Linked DNA regions of Mytilus edulis. The protein of the gene in region 2 interacts with the protein of the main gene of each other region in a pairwise test. Links are inferred from orthologs where the notes say so. Each region holds a gene or a part of one and is shown on either strand. Other genes may lie near its edges.

Region 1 (11,303 bases), on a different chromosome or scaffold from region 2:
ACGTGGCACAACATAGAAAACTAAAGAATAAGCAACACGAACCCCACAAAAAACTAGGAGGGATCTCACCAGACTCAAGCTAGCGACCAATTCTAGCGACCAATCAAGCTAGCGACCAATTCTATCGACCACTTAAGTTAACACTGAGCATAAACACGTAACGCTCCGGAAGGGTAAGCTGATCCTGCTCCAAATTTTGTTCGTTGATTCATTATTTGGTTCAGTATTCAAAGGTACAAGGATTGTAATTCAACACGACAGACGCACGTTCCGTTTACATAAGATTCATCAGTGACGCTCAGATGAAACTAGTTATAAACCAAACAAGTACAAAGTTGAAGAGCATTTAGGACCTAAAATTCAAAAAAGTTGTATGTGGTTATTTTTTTTTTTTTTTTTAAATATCAAGAACTTCGTCAAACCTTCGAGAAATTTAACAGAATATGGACAGAAACTGTTTATGATCAAAACAAGTATCCTCTAGCATTATGATAATATGTAATCGTCCCGTATTTTATGGAAAAAGGAAATTTCCTTTTGCAGTTAACAACTACATGTACTGTCACGTACTCGGTGAAGTGACTTCTGGGTATCGTACCAGAGTTTACACCTGGATATTGGAAGATGCACCGTTTCTTCGCTTTCTATCTTTTAAACTTATAGTATGGTCTCTGTCACACAATAACAATGTGTGGGACGTTTTTCTGTCTCTAAAAGACCTTGTGTGTCCAGCAACAACCAATGCAAACCTATGCACTATTACACCTTGGCTATATTCAACCTTTGCACTGCTATCCTGTGCACTACTATCCTGTGCACTATCTGGCCTAGTCTGCCTGTGCACTGCTTAACCAGTACTCTCTCTGGTTTATGCTTTACTTGTGCACTTTAACCGCACAGTCGTCTAGGCACCTATTAACCGGTGCGTATGTTCCTTTTATAATATCCCCCTGCAACCTTATTCAGGTACGCAGATAGATTCTTATTCAGAATCTATATAATCTTTATAAAGTGAAAACTATTACCTTGAAGTTCTTACTTCTTCTAGACGTTTGGATTATCCAACAAGTACCCTTTGTTATATATATATATATGGTGGTGTTTAACGACCTTGACTGGCTATACAGCCCTCGCACGGTCGGCTCGGTGCCCGAAGACGTTTGGTGAGCTTTAACATATTTTGATGCCGTGGGTCAGGAACAAGTAGTGGAGGTCGCAATATGTAGGCCGCCATCTTGGTTTTGGTGAGTTGTTTTTGGTTTGTTTACTATTTTGTTGTTTATTCTTCACTAACGGCTGCTTTCAGGGCCAGTTTGGTCAGCTTGGCAGCCCGCTAGCCTCGATGATGGAGTACTGGTAGATGATCTCGGACGTAGTTCGAAAGATGACAGGAAGCGTTATCAGGACCAAAGCCGTGAGGCAGTGAAATGAAAGTCGTATCACCCAACAGCCTAGGATACAGCCCTCGGACGTTAATCGGCATAACACTCCCCATGATACAATAATTTTGGAGTGCATGTTAAATTGACAGCACATCAGCTTATATACTAAGGTTTTGGACCATACCATTTAATTTGGACGATACCATATGTCTTATTCATATGAGTGTTTATAATAACCTAACCCTTAATGCTAAAACGTTTGAATGACGGCCCTTATGTTTACGACTTCCGATCTGAATATTTCCGGGTATGCTAACCACGACCGGTCCGTTACTGATTCTAAATATTATAAATATCCATAGCAATGTAAACAAACAAAACCAAAAACAAAACTTTCAAACATAACGAGTTCGTATAACAAAGTTTCAGCTTGATAAAAGAAATAAAAAGAAGAACACTAGTAAAATAAAACAGGTGAACCAAGTTCATCACATCACCCATGCCTCCAGGAAATGCGTCCCCGCATTTATCGAACACAATTGAGCACATCTACATCAATTGGACATTTTTCAGTCCCAAACTCTATCCGGGTATTGCCTCTGGCCATGCCATTTAAAAACCACAATTATAACCGTTACTTCTTCAGTAGCTAACCACTAGAACAACTCGTAGATGTGTGATCTACCTGACATGACACGATTCCCACTCAACTGTATACCATTGTCTTTGCACTGGAGGAAACGTTAAACATAGACATCAACTTAAACACATCAACTTTATCCTAAGAACCCTTACTTCTTGATTGAAACATGCATGCTGAAAGATTTTTGAGCAACCAATCTTTAACTATGAAAACTAACACGTCAAAATTACTTCTAAATGTTGGGCACTGGGAACACAAAATAGCTTTGAATTATTTATCTCAAACGCTAAACCTTATATAAGAGATTTAAATCAACGTAGTTGATTCCGGTTTAGATAGGTTTAATTATATTTTTTTTTGATAGATGCACAACCTTAAAATTTCAGGATACTGTTATCCCATGTGATGTCTAATATATTTCATTAAAAAAAAACCGACTTCTTCTTTTCATTATTCATTTTGTTATTAAGAATGATTTGAAATATTTCATGCTATTTATTTATAACTAAGAATAGTGCTTACATCAGTGATTACAGGTACCCCTCTTGTCGCCCCTTTATATTTTTGATATTTTAAGCAAACATTTAAAAAATTAAACTTTCAAAAAGTGAAATAATCAAAATTGCACGTTAGGTTTAGTATTTTAAAAGTTTGATCAAGTTTCTAAAATATCAAATTTATAAACGATATTTAGAGTTTTGATATTTTAATAATTTGGTTAAAATTTCAAAATTTCAAAACTTTAACACAATTTGAAATTTTGATATTTTAAAACTTTGATCAAAATTCCAAAAATCTAAAATTTCAAAACTTTTTATAACTTTGAATTGATAAGTGTTACACGGACCGAGTATCTACAGTACACTGAGAAAATGTTTTGAGTTAGCAGCAGACAATTAGGGACACATTAGTTACCATTAACATGGCATTCAGTTCTAGATCTTCAATGGGAGTTTTCGTACTATTTATGTTTGTGTTGGGCATGAGAAAATCATTTAAGGTTTCAAGTACTAGTGTGGTCACTTATACAAGATTAAACAGAATGGTGCTCCATATTAAAATATATATACAAATATTTAGCAAAGCTACATGTACATGCATGACCACTTACACACCATAATGACGATAACAAAGATGCTTAAGGACACTTGATAAACTTTAAAAGTGCATGGACACAGCGCAGTCCCCTATATTTAATAAATGATCTCATCAAGTTGTGCTTATCAACAAACTTTTCCTGTGAAGTACATATCTTGAAAGGGGTCTATTGTAATAGATTCTGCAGTATCTGATAAAAATCGTAACAGTTTTCTGTTAAGCTCACCGACTGTCACTATCTGATCTCTGTCAGCAACATTCGGAAGAGTGGGTGCACAATCCAGACAAGTTCAGACTTTTTTTATCATGCAAAGGATACAATTTGGATCAGAATCAGATTAAAAACAGGATAAATGGTAAAGCATCCTGAACAATATCTGATTGCTGTTGCAATTAAATAAATGTGTTTACAAATTTCCAGCCATTCATGAATCACATGATCTCAATTGATCTAATGTTTAGACAATTTTAATGAGGAATAGTTTAATATCAAGGACATAAATCTGAAGTCAGTATATATATATATGCACCACAATTACAAGTGTAAGCTCTGAATTGTACATTGAACAGTAATATAAAGTCACAATGTGTGATTTAAGCTTTTTAGATTATTAAAGAGAACAACATGAACAATGTCAGGCCAGAGACTGGCAGAGTTGTTATTTCTAGTATGTGTTTATAAGACTACACTAACACTCTGTCAATTTTCATATCTTAGCCAACAAGTTTTTTTTTTTTGTACATAAGCTCAAGCTGATGAATAATTCTTTCAGGCCTAGTCAGCTAACTTAAACTAGTGCAAAGTTTCTACAGGCTTTAAATATCAAATGCACCTGAGACTACTATAATGTGTTATAGTAGTCTCAGAATGCACCAGTACGGCTGTGGCATATTCTCAGGGTCTCTATAAAAATCTATTTTATTTGCGCAATGTCAATTCATTTCAAAGTATTGGGGAAGTCCCTACCTGGGAAATCAACAGGTAATGTACCACTGATGTGTATAAAAAGAAAGTTCATTTATGTTTATATCGTGATCTGACATCAGAGACAAGTGTGAAAACATATTGAAAGTACTCTCTTTCTTACCTTAGGTCTTTTTAAAGTTCGCCAAATAAAACCCTCTTCATTAATAAACAGAAAAATAACAGGAAGAACTTTACCAAAGTGGGTGAAACTTTAACTAGGAAGTAAAACTATATATATCTGTATCTTTTCGATTGTTTGTGGTACTTATCTTTACTAAGGGGAAATAACTCTTAATTTTAGCAGGTGCGAGTTTTTTCCGCGCTACAATTCAAATATGAATAGACAGAAGACACAAAACCATAAAGCAGAGGCGGATTTAGGGGGGACAGGGGGCCCGGGCCCCACTTTTTGGGGAAAAAAATGGTTGCTTATATCATAGGGAATCATTGAAGTGTGACTGGAGCGGGCCCGCTCTTATCTGAGGTCCGACAGTGGGCCCCCGCCACTTATGAAAATTTCTGGATCCGCCACTGTGAAGCTTTATTTAAAGTCGTTATAATGCAATAAAATTACAAGAAAATAGCTTGTTTTAAACAAAATAACAGATTTAAGGAATGGATATATTATGTAACCGGTCACTTGCACAGGGACTCGGTTAGCAGATATTTTTTCTAATCTATGTTTTTTCAGTATTATTCTATTATTCATGATTTGACTTTTGACGATGCGAATTTAAGCATGGATGCAATTTGGATACTCTCATTACAGAATCATTAATGGTTTGGAGGTCAGTTCAGACCAATTTTTCTGTTGTATAGTAAATAATGATACAAAATAATCACATAATGAAAACTTTTGTCAACTGTTATAATAGGTGAAATTTGGGTACCCTCACGTTACAGATATTGATAGTAAACTGCACATGGCTAGAAAACAAACAAGTATTGATGTCAACGTTAAAAACGTTAATAATGTAATACAGGAAATACGAAAAAAAAGATTGAAAAAAATTCGTAAGGGTTCCGCGGAACCCAGTGTCTCGCTTACTTTTGCTGTAAATCACATGCTCAACAATAATGAGAAAAAAATCAATAAAAAATATTTTTAAAAACTTTAACTGCAGACTATATGTTATGTTAACTGGAAGAAAAACTAAGTTCATTTATAAATAAGTAAAATACAGATACACAGGTACAAAATTTCCTTCTAGACAATAGCTGTTGATCATAAACAAGCTTCTGTCTAAGTTTGGTACAAATTAAAAATAGTGTAAGAAAGTTATTAACATTTTAAAAACTTTAACCACCGAGTGAATGTAATGTTTCCCTGCAAAAAAACTAAATCCATTTAAAAGTAAAATACGGAAAAAAGGATTATTCTTTTTACAAAATTTACTTCTGGATACTATTTTAAGATCATAAACACGTTTCTGTCCAAGTTTGATACACATTAAAAATAGTATAAGAAAGTTATTAAAATTTTGAAAACTTTAACCACAGAGTGAATGTAATGTTTCCGAGCAAAAAAACTAAGTCCATTTAAAAGTAAAATACGGAAAAAAACGGAATTTTATTTTTACAAAATTTACTTCTGAATACTATCTTATGATCATAAACAAGCTTCTGTCCAAGTTTGGTACAAACCCAGGATAGTTTAAGAAAGTTATTAAAATTTTAAAAACTTTAACCACAGAGTGAATGTTATGTTTCCCGGCAAAAAAACTAAGTCCATTTAAAATTAAAATACGGAAAAAATGGAATTTTATTTTTTATAAAATTTACTTCTGGATACTATCTTATGATCATAAACAAGCTTCTGTCCAAGTTTGGTAGAAATCCAGTACAGTTTAAGAAAGTAATTAAAATTTCAAAAACTTCAACCACAGAGTGAATATTTGTGGACGCCGCCGACGCGACGACACCGACGCCGACGAAATGTAGGATCGCTATGTCTCGCTTTTTCGACTAAAGTCGAAGGCTCGACAAAAACAGAGACATATAATACTTTAGTGTTATATGTCTCTGAAAAAACATAGATTAAAAAAAAATCTGCTAACCGAGTCCCTGTGGTTAAAATGGCATAGATTGATTAAAGATTTGTATAGTAAAAAGCCAGTCCTTCTTTGGTCATCTTTTCCATGATACGTTTTATGCATAATTAGGAACATCTAGAGCTGAAACACTCATTACCGTATGAACTTGTCGCATGATAATGATGATCCGTGCTTGATGACAAACATCTCTCTCAGTGGTGGATCGAGGGTGGGGGTCCGTGGGGATGGAACCTATCTTTTTTTGACGATCAATGCCTTTGAGTGGTGGACATATGGTTGGAACCCATCCTTGTAACCTTTTAGACCCCTGTCTGTTTCCGAGAGTCTTCGCCATCGCAATCGAAACAAGTGCAGTAACTGTATTTTTTTTGTCGGTAGGGACGAGGGATGGATACATATACCCTACTCATTCCAGTCTTTATTTATGTCAGGGACTTTCTATACTCCCTGTTTATGTTTGATGTTTTAAATGCTTTGTACCGACGAGTTAAGACTTTTTCAACTTATAGTTTTTTTTCGCATGTTGTGCTGTTACACCACCGTCCCAAGTTTGGGGAGATGGTTGAGCGTGCATTGCAAACATGTTTAAGTCCGCCACATATATTATGTACCGTCACTGCCTGTCCCAAGTCAGGAGCCTGTAATTCAGTGGTTTTCATTGGTTCTTGTCTTGTCATATTTGATCATTTTTTAAGTTGTTTTTGCATGGTATAAATTAGGCCGTTAATTTCCTCAATTCAATTGTTTCATATTTTTCATGTCGAGGCCTTTTATAGCTTACTGTACAGTATATGGGTTTTTCTCACTGTTGAATGTCGTACGGTTGCCTGTTATTTCTTTCAACCACTTTATTTGAACTTGGTGAATATTTGTCTCATTTAACAATCATACCACATCTCCTTATTTTTAAACGAAACGAAACAAAATACAGCTGTACAAATATAATTGTTTGAACTTTCAACGGTGAAACATGGAAAATGAGTCGACAGATATATCTAGCTATTTAAAACAACAAAACTTTAAAACAGATTACGTACCCTCAGGAGGATTTCTGTGCATTCTTTGATGTAATTTCAAATTGTAGGTTATTTTAGTTGTTAAAATTCATTATTTATGATACCATTCTTATATTTTTCTGCAAGTTTCAAAAATCATCATTCAGACGTATGAGAAATTTTACCAAAAGTTAAAAGTACGAATAAAGTATCAAATAAAAGATACACACATAAAATATTGAAAGAACACTAGTGTCAGTACAATTGTATTTTAGTCATGATAACAATGGCGGATCAGAAAATGACTACGTTTTTAACAAAGCTGTCAATAACAGCGATTATCAGCATCTGATCTCCAGCCCCATTATCCTAAGTGACAAATGTATTGAGACATCATGAAATACTGAGCGAGGGATACAATCACCAATGAAGTTCCTGACTATAGTGACAGTAACACGAACTTCAATGTTGCAACTTAAATTAATTTGATCTCAATCAACTTTTGATTCTGGTCAGTCAGTGTCATATCAAAGGTACACAGACGAACGTACAACAAAAATTCGGAAAAACTGTCATTGTTGCAATCTGGCATTACGACCTGCTTGTTGTATTTCCTAGGTTCTACACTTTCTACTATAAAAAAGAAGATGTGGTATGATTGTCAATGAGACAACTATCCACAAGAGACCAAAATGACACAAGACATTAACAACTAATGGTCACCGTACGGCCTTCAACAATGAGCAAAGCCCATACCGCATAGTCAGCTATAATAGGCCCCGACAAGACAATGTAAAACAATTCAAACGAGAAAACTAACGGCCTTATTTATGTAAAAAAATGAACGAAAAACAAATATGTAACACATAAACAAACGACAACCACTGAATTACAGGCTCCTGACTTGAGACAGGCACATACATAAATAAAGTGGCGGGGTTAAACATGTTAGCGGGATCCCAACCCTCCCCCTAACCTGGGACAGTGCAACATAAGAACGAACTATAAAAATCAGTTGAAAAAGGCTTAACCCATAAGATGGGCAAACATACAAGTAGACGTGGCCGGGTACTTATACATCCCGACACAAAAAGACGCAATGAACAGATCTGAGAGTACTCGCAGTTATCTGACAGCTAGTTCAAAGCCACTAACAACTAATAAAAAATCATGCATCTAAGAGGGGTCATCTAAGACTAAACTATCAATCCGTACACATCCAACATCCAATGGATTTAGTGTAAAGACGTCATAAACAGCCAGAGAAAAACATGACCTTGTGCAATGCCAAGTTACAGGTATCGACAGATTGTAGCTCCATGAATATGTATATGTATATAACATACTAGTAATATTTAGTTAGCTTTTAATTTACTGATAACAAAATCAATATTTATACCAATAAAAACAATATTTAATGATCTTATTACAGTGTTGAATAGGTAACCTTTTAGAATAAGTTTATTTAAAGGAGCGACAAGTTTACATGGATCATTCTACTATGTTTTCTTTGGAATTAGATGTGGCGGTTAATGCGTGCATACGAGAACTGATCTCAATCCGTTTGGAGTATATTCGATTATGATTTTTGTCATTTTCATTTTTGTATGTATTGTTGGTCTTTTTCTTGTGTTTTTAATTTTCTGTAGTAAATATTTTTTAATATTTTCACATTCCACACAGAGGAAGAGTAGAGAAACCATGCAGTGCCCTTTCATAGATGCCATTGAACTTGAAGACACATTCATGGAATTATCAACATTCATGAACTTGCAGTACTAAAACATAAAGTATAAAATATATATGTTTTTAAGTACATGCAGTTTATTTTCAAAAGTTACTATCATTGAAATACATTTGAAACATCTATTTCGATGGAACGATGGGTCGTCAAAAAAACACGCTACTGATTAAAATTCATCTAAACAACAGATGCAATTTTCAAGTTCAGTTAAGCCAGAAACACATTTTAGTATCTATGTCTCTAGTTAAGTTCTTCAACATAAATCGCTTCACATAGATGCATTTATTTTTTTGTCATTCTCTGCAGAGAAATATATACTACTATAATGTATTATATGCGTCTGCTTCCTGTTAGTTGTGTGTTTGAACTTCATAAAAAATGAAAGTTAGAATAAATGTTCAGTAACCTACTAAATCTTACCAAACTCTTAATTGACTTTGAAAAGAAATGACTTATCAAAAATGTGCCATTCCTGTAAATCTCATCATTCAAGTTATCATAAAAACGCAGGACACTAGCTTTGAAATCCCCTCGGTAACAACTTCCGTCATGTCCAAAGATAACAGGAATTAATTTAATAAAATTGAGAAAGGAAATGGTGAATATGTCAAAGCGACAACCACCCGACCATAGAGCAAACAACAGCCGAAGGCAACCAATGGGTCTTCAATGTAGCGAGAATTCCCGCACCCGTAGGTGTCCTTCAGCTGGCCCCTAAAATATGCATAATAGTACAGTGATAATGGACGTCATACTAAACTCCGAATTATACACAAGAAACTAAAATTTAAAATCATACAAGACTAACAAAGGCCAGAGGCTCCTGACTTGGGACAGGCGCAAAATTGCGGCGGGGTTAAACATGTTTATGAGATCTCAACCCTCCCCCTATACCTCTAGCCAATGTAGAAAAGTAAAAGAATAACAATACGCACATTAAAATTCAGTTCAAGAGAAGTCCGAGTCTGATGTCAAAAGATGTAACAAAAGAAAATAAATAAAATGACAATAATACATAAATAACAACAGACTACTAGCAGTTAACTGACATGCCAGCTCCAGACCTCAATTAAACTGATTGAAAGATTATGTCTTCATCATATGAATATCAGGTACAATCCCTCCCGTTAGGGGTTTAGTATCATACTATCATAAAATATATGAGAAGAACATAACCCGTGTCATGCCAACAACTGTTTTTTTTAAGAAATAAATGTGTTTAGTTCCGATGCAAAGACCCTATCAGTGAATCAATGTTAAAGCCAAAATATGCAATCTTTAATGACCTGACAACCAACAGTATCGTAACTATATCCCCTTTTAATAAGTCTATTTAAAGGTTTTGTTAGTTTCTGAGGAGAATACTGACATTTTTGTGCTTTATAAAGAATATTTCCATAAAATTTTGGATGTGAAATACCTGAACGTATAAGATGTCTGCATGTTGAGTTATATTTACGAATTATTTCCTTATACCGGTGATAAAATTTAGTAAATGTTTTGACCAGTTTGTGATATCGAAAACCCTGGTGTAATAATTTTTCAGTAATACATAAATTTCTCTCGCTAAAATCTAATACATTGTTACATACACGAGCGAATCGTACAAGTTGAGATATATAAACACCATAAGATGGCGACAAGGGAACGTCACCATCTAAAAATGGATAATTAACAATAGGAAATGAAAAATCATCTCTTTTATCATAAATTTTTGTATTAAGCTTCCCGTTTATGATATAGATATCAAGATCGAGGAAAGGGCAGTGGTCATTGTTATCATTAGCTTTATTTAAAGTAAGTTCTACAGGATAAATTTCTTTAGTATACATACTGAAGTCGTCATTATTTAGAGCCAATATATCATCCAAATATCTAAAAGTATTGTTAAATTTTTGTATCAAATGTTGTTTTGATGGGTCTTTGCTAATTTTAGTCATAAATTGTAACTCATAACAATACAAAAACAGGTCCGCAATAAGTGGTGCACAGTTAGTCCCCATTGGAATTCCAATAACTTGACGATATACGGAATCTCCAAAGCGAACAAAAATGTTATCAAGTAAAAATTCAAGTGCATAAATAGTATCAAAGCATGTCCAATTGACATAGTTCTTTTGTTTATTGCTACTAAAAAATGATCTAAAAGAGTTTGAACATATGTACTCGCATTCCGACTTTTTAAATGCCCAGTTAATTAGGGATGTGAATTTTTTCTTAATAAGAATATGAGGCAAAGTGGTATATAGGGTAGAAAAATCAAAACTTTGGACAGATTCAAAATCACCAATATATGCATGCAATTTATCAAGTACTTCCAACGAGTTTTTGACACTCCAAAAGTAATTAATTCCACTATTTTCAAAGGCCTTATTTGAACAATTTATTATCAGGTTTTTTATTGTACCAAGTGTACTAGT
Region 2 (11,430 bases):
CAATTGGGAGTTCACCCCCCCCCCCCCCCCCAAAAAAAAATTAAAATAATTGGCACCTGAAAGATACTATTCTACGTTAACTAAATCAGCCCTTGAAATACATTTTTATAACTATACATTTGGCTGTGTATTAACCACCTCAAATTAGCACTTTTTACTTCGAGCCAATTCTTGGACAACACCTCCATACAATCAGCACCTGCAAAGTCCCACTTATCTCAGTATCTGCCTACTCATGTAAATAGACCAAAGATCATGTCTTTTTCAATAGCGAAAGAGAAAAACACATGTAAGAAAACTTCATTGAAAATAATAATTCAGTACAGTAATAAGAGAGTACTAACTTATGTTATGAATTGACTATTTTTATGACTTTTGGCTCTAATTTTTTATTGAATACTTCTAAATGTGAGAAACATCATTTTATATATGGATTTTAATGGTTGTTGTGGTATTAAAATAGCCAATTCAAGAAACATCAATATGAGAATTCTATTGTTAAAAATATTTTTATATTTCACATTTCAATGAAATCTTCTTCCATAAAATTACCAATGTTATAAATGAAAAATTTTATGATTTAATTTCATTGGTGATAAATTAAATACCCTTGACATATTTTTAATGACATCATCTGTTTTTCAATACTTGACTGCTGACGTTGGTACAGTTTAGTCATTTTCTGCTCAAGTAATCATGGAAAAAAAATTAGCCACACGTTTTGTGACGAGTAAACTGTAACTTGAAATGATACAATAAAACACCTCTGTATCTTGTAGATATCTAAAAATAAAGATTTACCAAAAACATTTGATCTTCAAACCATCCCTCAATATTTTCTATTCATATTCAGAACAACTAAAAACTGGTATACTAATCTTGTATCAAGTGTATTAAAGCTTTTCCTTATTTTTTGATACAAGTATCCTTTTCCCGTTAGGTACAATCATTAAGACGATCCTTAATAACTTTGCTTGATTAGACACTTTTTTTAAGTTTAAAAAAATGTTTTATTTACTATATTGAAAGCAAGCTACTGTAGGCTGGTCTATTTTACTTTTAACTATATTCATATATAAAACATGTTCTTTTTTAAATTTTTGATCTATTATTTCAATGTTAACACTTTTTTGTTTCAAATATGAATAGTCTTTTAACAGCTCTCATTTATGGGAGCATTGATTTTTGTAGGGGTCAGCTATTTTTATATTTGTGTATTTATTCCAATGATAAATAGAGATTGTCATATGTTAATGTGTATAAGGTGAGGTACATGGTAAACTTGTCAAATATAAGAGTGTAAAATGTGTAGTAAGTCGCCATCTCATGTCCCTCTAGGCTAAAACAATACACGGTCGGATTTACATGGTCGATGGACTTTGTATGTAAAATGTATTCACTACTGAACATTGATAATAAAAATGCTAAACATCATTTTCCAGGCTGACAAATTTTCTTTTTATGTTTAAAACAGGATGTGAAAACGATTTTTTTTTACTAAAACATAGTTATCTGCCCTTTGTTGGCAATATTGTTAAATTTTCTACATGTAACTTATTCACTGCATATGGTACAACTTCTTGTGACATTTGCTATCATTTATTTGAACTTCTTTGCATAAAATTATCTCTGCTTGTAATTTTAATTGTTGAAAAACTTGTTTTCACAATTAATAAGTTACTAAAGCATATCAATTTCACAAATGTTACCAAGTTCACCAAGTTTCTAGCATTGGGTTCATTGAAAAGTTGCACTTGTTGAAAGTGGCTTATATTTTAATTCCTCTTCTTCACCCTTTTCAAACCAACTAGAAGATAACACCTATTGAAACAAAAGCCTAAGTTATTTAAGCAGAACAAGACTGTGGTTCCAACATTGGAAGGGGAGGAATAAAAGATCACAAAAATAAGGAGTGTCATGATTGTCAATGAGACAACTTCCCACAAGAGAGCAAATAACATGGAAGTTAGCAACTAAAGGTCACTGTACAACCTTCAACAATGAGCAAAACCAAAACTGCTTATCAAGCTATAAAAAGCTGATTTACTGTAAGGAATTAAAGGAGACATAGGGTGAATAAAGATGAGATAGCAGCCCATCAAGTTAACTGTCTGATAAACTGTAGGTTTTCAGTGGATAAGTCTGGAATAACAATAACTGAATGAAGACCTAGAACATATACATATTATGCATCTATAGACTGCAGATAAAGTCAAGAATACTATTGAAATTCTAATCATGTCTTTTTCTTCCATTGTTTCACTAAATGATATCAATTTAAATCTATCTGTCTCTATTATAAAACATACAAAGGGATTGTCTTTTAGTCTTGAAAAAAATCAACTGCATTATCTAACAAACTTATTAATTCTGCTATAAAATAAAAGTGCAAAAGTTTATTCCAAAAATGGCAACATTACATTTGAATACAATATTGATTATGATGTTAATGCTATTTAAAATAAAAACAGCATTTGAAAAGGTCAACTTTTAGCAGGAAAAAAAATCAATTGTGTTTTTTTCTACATTTTTTCTAAAAATTGCTATTATATTCTAATACTAATTGTGCCATTAGCAGTCAGGGGTTTGTGTGGGTTAATAGGTTTAAATTTTATGTGAAGAACAGATTTCACCAGAAAATGAGAAATTCATAGATTTGTACTTTTGAGGTGAATCCATTACTGGAGAAAACAAGGCGTTATATATGTTTAATTGGAAGTTAATCTAAACACCAATCCTATGTTCTATACTTTGTTCATAATACTTAATCTACTCTGAGACTTTTCTGTATTTTTTAACTCACTCCTTTAAGTAATTTCGTCAAATTACAGACAAATTAAAAATTTGATTTGCTACAGAATTTCATTTGGGACAATGTTTAGAAATTACATTTATTTATTTACTTTTACAACAATGGTAAATGTTCATATTTCTGAATGTTCCTAACTTTTTATTTGGGGTTCCTGTGAACTTTAATAGCTCTGTTTCCACCTTATTGTTCATGTGGCTCCAGACTCGAGGTTTTAATTTGATTATTCATGTCAATATTGATAAAACATGTTAACATACAGGACAAAGACATCTTTATTAAGACAACTGCATATTAAATTTTTTATTGAAATTTCAAATTCTTTACCAACAATCTGAATAGTGAGGGTAAATTTGTAATGAGATAAGCAGTATAAGTTACAAATAATTTTCCATTTCCCAAGATGACCTTTTGAGCTATAAAATCTGCAAATATAATAAATATTTCTGTTCAATTTCAAAATGTGAAATTTTAAAATTTATAGTACGTTTAACATTTGAAATTTGTTAAAAGGTAAATCCTTATTTATACAAAAGATTTAAAGATGGCGCAGGACGATTATAACAAAAATATCAAAAACATATGATTCAGTTATGAAATATTCATATTAGTAATCAATTGATAGAATGAAAACAAGATTATTAAATATTGGGAAACTAAATAAATTACTAAATTAGAAAATTACTGCATTTATTATTTACAATAAGCAATATGTTTCATGCCACACGATATGTCAATATCTTTAATTAACTGTATCCTCTATTGAAACATATTTATTACATAAATGCGTGATCATCAAAAAAGTTATAAAAACTAATCCTGAATTTTAACACAAAAAACAATTAAAATTTACATAAATTTAAAAGAGAAATTTAACAAGAAGGTGAAGATCAATCATACTGACACTTACCACTTTACAAACAAGTCACCGAACAAACAAGTAAAAACATCGCTTGTCTGATCAACCCTTGGTCTCATATACTGAGAGTACTGGGCCTGGTGATGATGAGGAGGGGGAGGGGGTGGTGGTCCGTACCCCGCCATGTGATGGTGGCCTGGATGGTGTCCAGGGTGGCCATGATGAATAGGACCGTGTCCATGCCCATTGTAATCCGTAAACATAATGTTAGATATATAGATCGACTTCCTTTGTTAACAATAACTAGTTGTAATCCTCCACATTGGATAAAAAGTCAATGTCTTCTCACAATTAATTAAAGTTTTCTCTTAACACTATTATCTTCACCGATGTCATTGTTAATGTGTGAGTAAAAAATAAATGTGGTGTAGAAACACACATTTAACTAGGACACAGTTCACTTAGGTTCACACTTCACTCATAAATGGGGTTTATGCAGTACTCTATAACTGTTTTAGTAAACATAGCATGTAGACTGGGTCGTTTGGTGCATTTCTCTCCCGTTCACCAATCAAATGATGTAAAAGCTATAAATGACATGTAAACTCCGCCCCCAGGACATTTAAGGACATAGTAAACCTGTAGGTTTTTACATTGAGATATCTTAATTTTCTAATCTGTCAAATCAGTTATTGGTTCTTGATTATATTGATGAAGGATATCAAAATTCAAAAAATTTGCATTTGCAATGACAAAAAAAGACAGGCGCTGTTTAGACATCCGATTCATGTTACCTGATGAATAAAGGTAAGTATATAATCTTTTTCTACCCGATGGCAATATGCCAATGGTCATTGTTTAAATATTTACACCACACATAGGTCACCAAGTCCAGCTGATATTAATAAACATAAATAATATAAACAAACATTTTTTTAATATGTTGTGGTTTAGAAAAATATTTTATTTATTTCATAAATAAGGGATATTTATCAATTAATAGTAATATTAGATTATTGATTTTACTTTTATATAAAGATATTGCATTTAATTTTAAAAAGTTAAAACTGTTTCTTTAATGCAAAATCTATATACATTATTTCTTAAATTAATACTAAAAGTTATAGCTGACGGAGAAACTTCATGATTAAAATCTTCCCATCACACAAAACTAATATGAACTTGAAAAGAGTAAACCTATATAAAATATTTCTTTAAAGCAACTTTTTGTTCAAAACCTATGCAGGGTTCATCTATTTTTAAATATTTTGTTATTCTTATTTTTCTGGTTTCATAGAGTTTTCTTAAACTTTTTAACATTTTTTTTTTCTTTTCTTATTTAATTTTTCTCAATAAATCACTTTTCAAATTAAAAAAAAACATTGAATGAAAAATAATACATTGGTACAACTGTTGCATCTGCATAAACAAAAGAACACAAATGGTAAATATTTCAATTTTGTATATTTATACCATAAAACTTTTAAAACTAACCAATAGGACTGTGGGTGTTTACTTTTTCAGGGAAAATCAAAGGTCATTTTGTTCTTAATTTAGTTGCATAATTACAAGCATAAATAGAAGTTAAATGCAGAAATAGGGGAGGGGCAGTTTTGTATTAAATAAGTCAAGACACTATTGATACTCCATCTTAAAGAGCATAAATTTGAGCTTATGATGATGTTTCTAATACACACAAAAAATGGCAGATGAGTCAGTATCACAATAAATTTAAGTCATATAAATAAATACAATTTTATTGTTCAAAATGTGTTTGAAATATTTGCCACTGGATTATAAGCAAAGGACTGTCAATCAAGTTCCAGACTGTTTTAAAGTTTATCAATTTCCAAAAATTTGTATTGCATCAAATCTTACCAATTTTAAAGAGGTATTATGTAAAATAGCTACCAAGTCTTAATATCTTATTCTGTATTCTCCTTCCATAAAATAAGAGAACAAAAATCACAAAATTATTTGTTTCCCGTGTATTCTATGTTTGAATTACAAACAGAACGACCATGACTTTGCCCATCTCCGTGCAAAACACTTGACTTCATATATTTATAGAATATCTAGTACATTTGGACAGCCATCCTGAGAGGCAGATATTATGAAAGGAAAAACTTTTATATGTGATTTGCAATATTATTTGGAGCAGAGTATGCTTATAATGTACATATTATGATTGCATACCCCCCCCCCCCCCCCCAAAAAAAAAAGAGGTATTTTTTTATAGTATTTTATTTGTTGAACATTATTTATTTTTTATTAAATTTTTAAATTCCTTCTTACTTTTTTTAACAAGAAAACCACCAAAAATGTTTCCTTTTCTCCAAACTGAAAAGAAACTGTTAGTGAATTAACCAAATTCTACAACTGGTTATGTGGTACAGTTTATAGTTTAGGAGATAGGGCAACTTTCCCTAGATTTTTATTCCACATCAAACCCAGATTTTTCTAAAAAAAAACCTTCAATCTCTTCTAAAACTTTACAGTTTCATTTGTCTTAGGACTAAGTTTTTTTAACAACTTTTTGCAGTAATTCTGTACAAGGTGACCTAGTGACCTAGTATGAATGTCTATTATAAACTGCAATTTTGATAAATTTTGTCAAATTTTTTTGTGCTTATAAAAATAAGAAAATGACAGTATGATTGCCAATGATGCAACTCTCCACATGGGAGATATAGATAGACTTAGCTTTAATTGAGTTGTTTATCAGATAAAAAATATAGTACCTTTTTAAAGCATCATTGAGATATCCAAATTTAAAGTCTGAACTGAGTTGAAATTCACATTTTGCCCTTGCAAGTGAAACAAATATAGGGGCTACTGTAATGGCCATTGTCCATTTAACTGGTTTTTTTTAAGATACATTTGCACATGCATTGCACTTCCAAAGCCTAAAGAAAACAGCTGATGAGTTTATCTTGTTACATGTACACTGACTGCCGGTCTGGCATTGCTTGTCAACCCATGTGACATTGATTGAGGAAAAATCTTCCAGTCACCCCTGTTCAATACATGAAGTAAGTTACCAATGGTGATTATCCAAGTAAATCCTTACGACAATTATTTAAGGAAACAATATGAAATATTTTATGTAGGTTGTCATTATGACAATGCAGGAAGCATTGTGTATTTTGTAAACACCCCAACAACATTCCTGTAAAAACTCAATTGTTTATATGTTGCTGGAGATAATATCTTGTCATACAGAAATATAACATATATACTGATTAATTTTCAAATATGTTAAAAATTCAGGAATGCACTTAATCACATAGTGGTAGTATTCATCTACCATCATTGAGTCCTCTTACAGCAGGACATTACATATTGAACTGTACCTTCTTAGTCATTGGCCATCATAATTCAAATTCTGTTAATCTCAAGATATATTACCAAATCTTAATTTTTCAAATTAAGTTATGAATAAAAAATATGTGTGTTAATTAATGTCAAAAAGACTGAGCAACCTGATCAACCCCCCCCCCCCCCCCCCCCCCCAAAAAAAAATAATAACCAAAAGACACCTAGAAAGCAACAAACGGTCTTCAACATTATGTAAAACTCCCTTTTGTTAAAAAGCTTACCAAGCATTGAAGTATTTATTGATTCCTGACGCTTTTGAATTGAGCCTTTCTGTTGAAGGTAAATGTTTAAGACACACAACATCTAAAAGCGGTATTTTCATTTTATATTATGCTATCCAAGATTTATTATGTGATATGCTGGCACATCTAGCCCCACACATCTTACTGTGACTTTTTCAGAGGGAGTCAACACCTTATAATGTCCCAAATAAAGTAATATGGACATATAGAACATGACAAAAAGATAAAAAGTAGCTGGCTATCTGTGATTGGTTGTTATATCATTTGCATATTTTTCCAGTATTAGCACTATTATGAATAAATTTTATGCAAGCACAAATTCATTGTAAAAGCATATTATTAAAGACCAGAAATTTATTTTGTTTTGACATAAAACTTTGTGAAATTTTCTGCTAAATCACAAGGTACAGTATTTAAGACAACAGCAATTTCTTCATAAATATTTTATATAATTATTAAAAGAGCCATTTAAGAAAATAATGGCTAAAAATAGCATTATCAGCAAGTTGAGGTAAATGTTCAACAGATGCATTCATTAATTTTTATCCATGATGCATCATTTTGAAATGTTGGAAATTACTGATGTCAAATAACGATCAGATGAACTTTCACCATATTTACACTAAAGTCAAATTAAAAAGTGCACCTTATGCAAAACAGGATGATACTTTTATGGCAATCATGTGCAGGAAGTCTGCAACATGAAAACTGCCAATCAACAATGAAAAAATGATAATGACAATTGAAATTGACATTATAAATGTACTCTTAAGCTTTGTTAATAATGTACATTCATTTTGCCTCAATTCAACATAATTGCATGCAAATTGTTCCTGCACCATTCTGATTGAAAACAGCTTGTGCACTAATGAAGGAGCATTAAATAAGTATTTGCTTAATTCCAGTTATTCCAAATATATCCATAGAATGTCAAATTACACAGTGGGTGTCATTTTAAAGCGCAACAAAGTCTACAGAACCACAATCAACGCTGCACAATATTTAATGTGCAGAAAGCTAGCAAAATATTTCTTTTAACTTTACAAATAGTTGGAATTCTATTAAAGCTTGACAAAAGAAAATAAATATTAAATTTATCGTATAAACCATCTTATTGTTGTAAGAGGAACAGATTGCACTGCAACAGATGCTAATGTGCATTTTACAAAATAACAAAATTAACCTTCATTAAAACTACTAATAAATGTCCTACCCATAAAAAGACTTTCCCTGGAGAAGTACAAAATAGTTTGTAATGGAAGGATTTTCAGTTTGTCTTTGTGTCTCCATTATCATCTGTTACTATGGCAACAGATGTGGAGACCTCAATGGTGTAATAGTATAGTGTCATTAAATGTAATTAAAAAGGGTAATCTTGTTAGGCAAAAACCTGTTAATTTGAGAATTCTTAATAACAGCATCAACTTTAAAGTAGACTAAGGTGTTTCAACATCCATCATCTTTCTTCACTAATTAATTTATTACTATAAATTCTGTTTATAAAATCATATTCACACAGAAAAAAAAATTGTGCAGAGTTGTGTGTGCATGATCTGTCAATTCTGTTGTTGTGTTGAGTTGTGTTCATTCAATTTTGAACATAATATAATTGTTTAACCCCTGCCACATTCTGTGGTTGTTGTTTGTTGGTTGTACATGTATACCATATTTGTTTTTTGTTTCTTGTTTTGAACATTTTATAATACATTTGTCATTTTTAGGCCTTTTATAGTCGATTGTGCTCACTGTTGAAGGTATTATAATGAAATAAATCATTTGGTCTCTCAGGTGGAGATTTCTTGGTTGTTTTTGATGTGTTTAGTTGTGCATTTGTCAATTATGAACATATATAATTTGTTGTTTTTCTAATTTCTTGCTTTCAGTAATGTGTGCATTCTTTCAATTCTGAACATGTATACCGTCATTTGTTAGTTGATGAATTTCTGTGTTTAGTTGTGAGCATTCTTTCAATTATGAACAGGTAACATACTGTAATTGTTACTTTCTGTGTTTAGTTTTTCATTGTTCATGTATGTGCATCAGCCGCATCAAGCATCAGACATGTGGATATGTTGAATTGCACACCACCCAATTATTGTTGTGTCTGAACATTCATGTTTGTATCATTTATATTTAGTTTAATCAAATGTTTTAGACACAATATAAATGCTTTGTACTTAAAATTGGTTAAATAGTAATTCATCCTTATGGTGTGTCAAAAAGTTAAAATACTTGACTAAAGCTTTTGAAAATCTCTTGGTAAACTTGTGCTTTGCAAAAACTCAATAATGTCTCGAAGACACCGCCCCTGCACCTCCATGTATTCCTAATAGAATATATACTATTCTACTGATGATAATCTTAATTTTAATGAACCTCATGCACAATTAGTTCTAAACACTTCATCAAAACTCCAGCCATTCGCTGGCCATGAGAAATAAGCAAGTAAAATAAGGATATTTTCTCATGTTGAAGGCTGTACAGTTATCTGCAGTTGTTCACATCTTAGCCCTTTGATGTAAAGTTGTCTCATTGGAAATCATACCACATCACCTTATTTTATATTCAGTATCATGCAAGTTTCATTCAGTGGGCAAATGCCAACACACATTTATGTAAAAAGAACCTCAAATCTGTGAATATCTTAAGTTTTATACAGCAGGTGAATGGCAACCCACTTCTATGTAAAGTGAACTTGTACTCTGTGAATATCTAACCTCGTACTTAATGTTTGAATGATCCGTAACAACCCTAGTAATGTTGTATAGTTGAGATTATCTACCGAGGGTAATGATGTTGGCTATTATTGCCATGTTTCTAGTAATTCAATCTTATTCTGGTAGTTAGTTAAATTAGATACGGAAAAGTGCAATTCAATTTTGTTAATATAAATGATTTCTAAATAGGATAATCTCTCCCTAAAACATCCCATGACTACTATTTTGTTAACTTTGCACTCTTTTTACGGGCCTGATGAAGTTATCTTATTATCTAGATTCACATAAAACTTGACCTGCCTTTTGCAAAAGAGTTCTCTTAATTTTTGTCATGACCCAAACTTTGAGAAATATTTGATAATGTGAAAACAGTATATAAATACTAAGTTAATTTTTTGAGGTTTTAGGGCAAAAACCTTACATGGCCAAAGAGAACAAATGCATCACATATATATGTTGAACATTTTGTCGTGTCAGGGTTTAAAACTGACTATTCAGTACAAGTTTTGCTTTCTGTTGAAAGCGGTACAGTGATTTATAAATATTTAAATTCCATGTAAATGGTCTCAGGTGGATAGTATCATACCACATCTAATTTTATTCAGTTCTCAGATAGGGCAAGTGACATTCCCAGCTAAAGGTTTATATTCCCAGAGCCAAGGGTCTTGCTCTTTGTTGTAATGTTCCCTTGCTCATTGTGGTATTCTAAAAGCAATCACTAATATAGGTCAATTAGGAATGTGCATTCAACACTTACAAAGTAGCCAGGATTTGCTAATATGATCCCACTTTGATAAATTATGACTAGGCAAAAAAAAAAAATATCCTTTTTTCTTCTGATACATTACCAAGACATCTCATAAATTTTGTTAGTAGACCTTACAGCTCTTATATTGTATTTCCTCACAAACATAATTGCTAAACTTGTACATTAAATCAAGTGTCTTCATAATGGAAATGAAAGGATATGTTCAACTGATATGAATTTCGGTCATTCCTCTTTTTACCTGTATTTTCTCTGTTCTTCACCTTGTAGGGATAAATAATGGCGTATTTACATATAATAGACCTAACAATCAGTCTTGATGATAACCCTTTTGTGTTTTGATGACATGAAAGCGGACAAATTGTACTTCATTATAGTATTATAACTAAATCACCCAAAATAATTATATCCAGAACCATTCCTCATTGTTAAATATCAAATGGCCTTGGTATCAACCCCAAAATATTCTATTTTAAAAAACACACAGCATGTGGATAGAGGTTGTGGTTAAATGTCATCTAGTGCAAACATTAAATCATATAGCACGGCAATGAAATTAACTGCATTTTATGATTAAAAACATTTTATTGGCACAATTTAAATCTTTCTTTTTTTATTATCTATTCCACTTAATTTACATTCTATCAAAATTGCTTGCA

What was found.
Region 1: the proteins of thyroid hormone receptor beta-like (region 2) and proto-oncogene tyrosine-protein kinase Src-like interact in a two-hybrid assay, tested with the Homo sapiens proteins (2 studies listed by BioGRID). The link is inferred for Mytilus edulis from reciprocal best matches to the Homo sapiens genes VDR and SRC.

The regions. Positions count from the first base shown.
Region 1 is NC_092344.1:80,768,548-80,779,850, reverse strand, and holds the start of proto-oncogene tyrosine-protein kinase Src-like, read right to left. Parts: upstream 4,367-11,303; 5' UTR 4,212-4,366; intron 1-4,211. UniProt on the Homo sapiens protein: Non-receptor protein tyrosine kinase which is activated following engagement of many different classes of cellular receptors including immune response receptors, integrins and other adhesion receptors, receptor protein tyrosine kinases, G protein-coupled receptors as well as cytokine receptors.
Region 2 is NC_092347.1:5,670,557-5,681,986, forward strand, and holds the start of thyroid hormone receptor beta-like, read right to left. Parts: upstream 4,201-11,430; 5' UTR 3,932-4,200; coding exon 3,720-3,931; intron 1-3,719.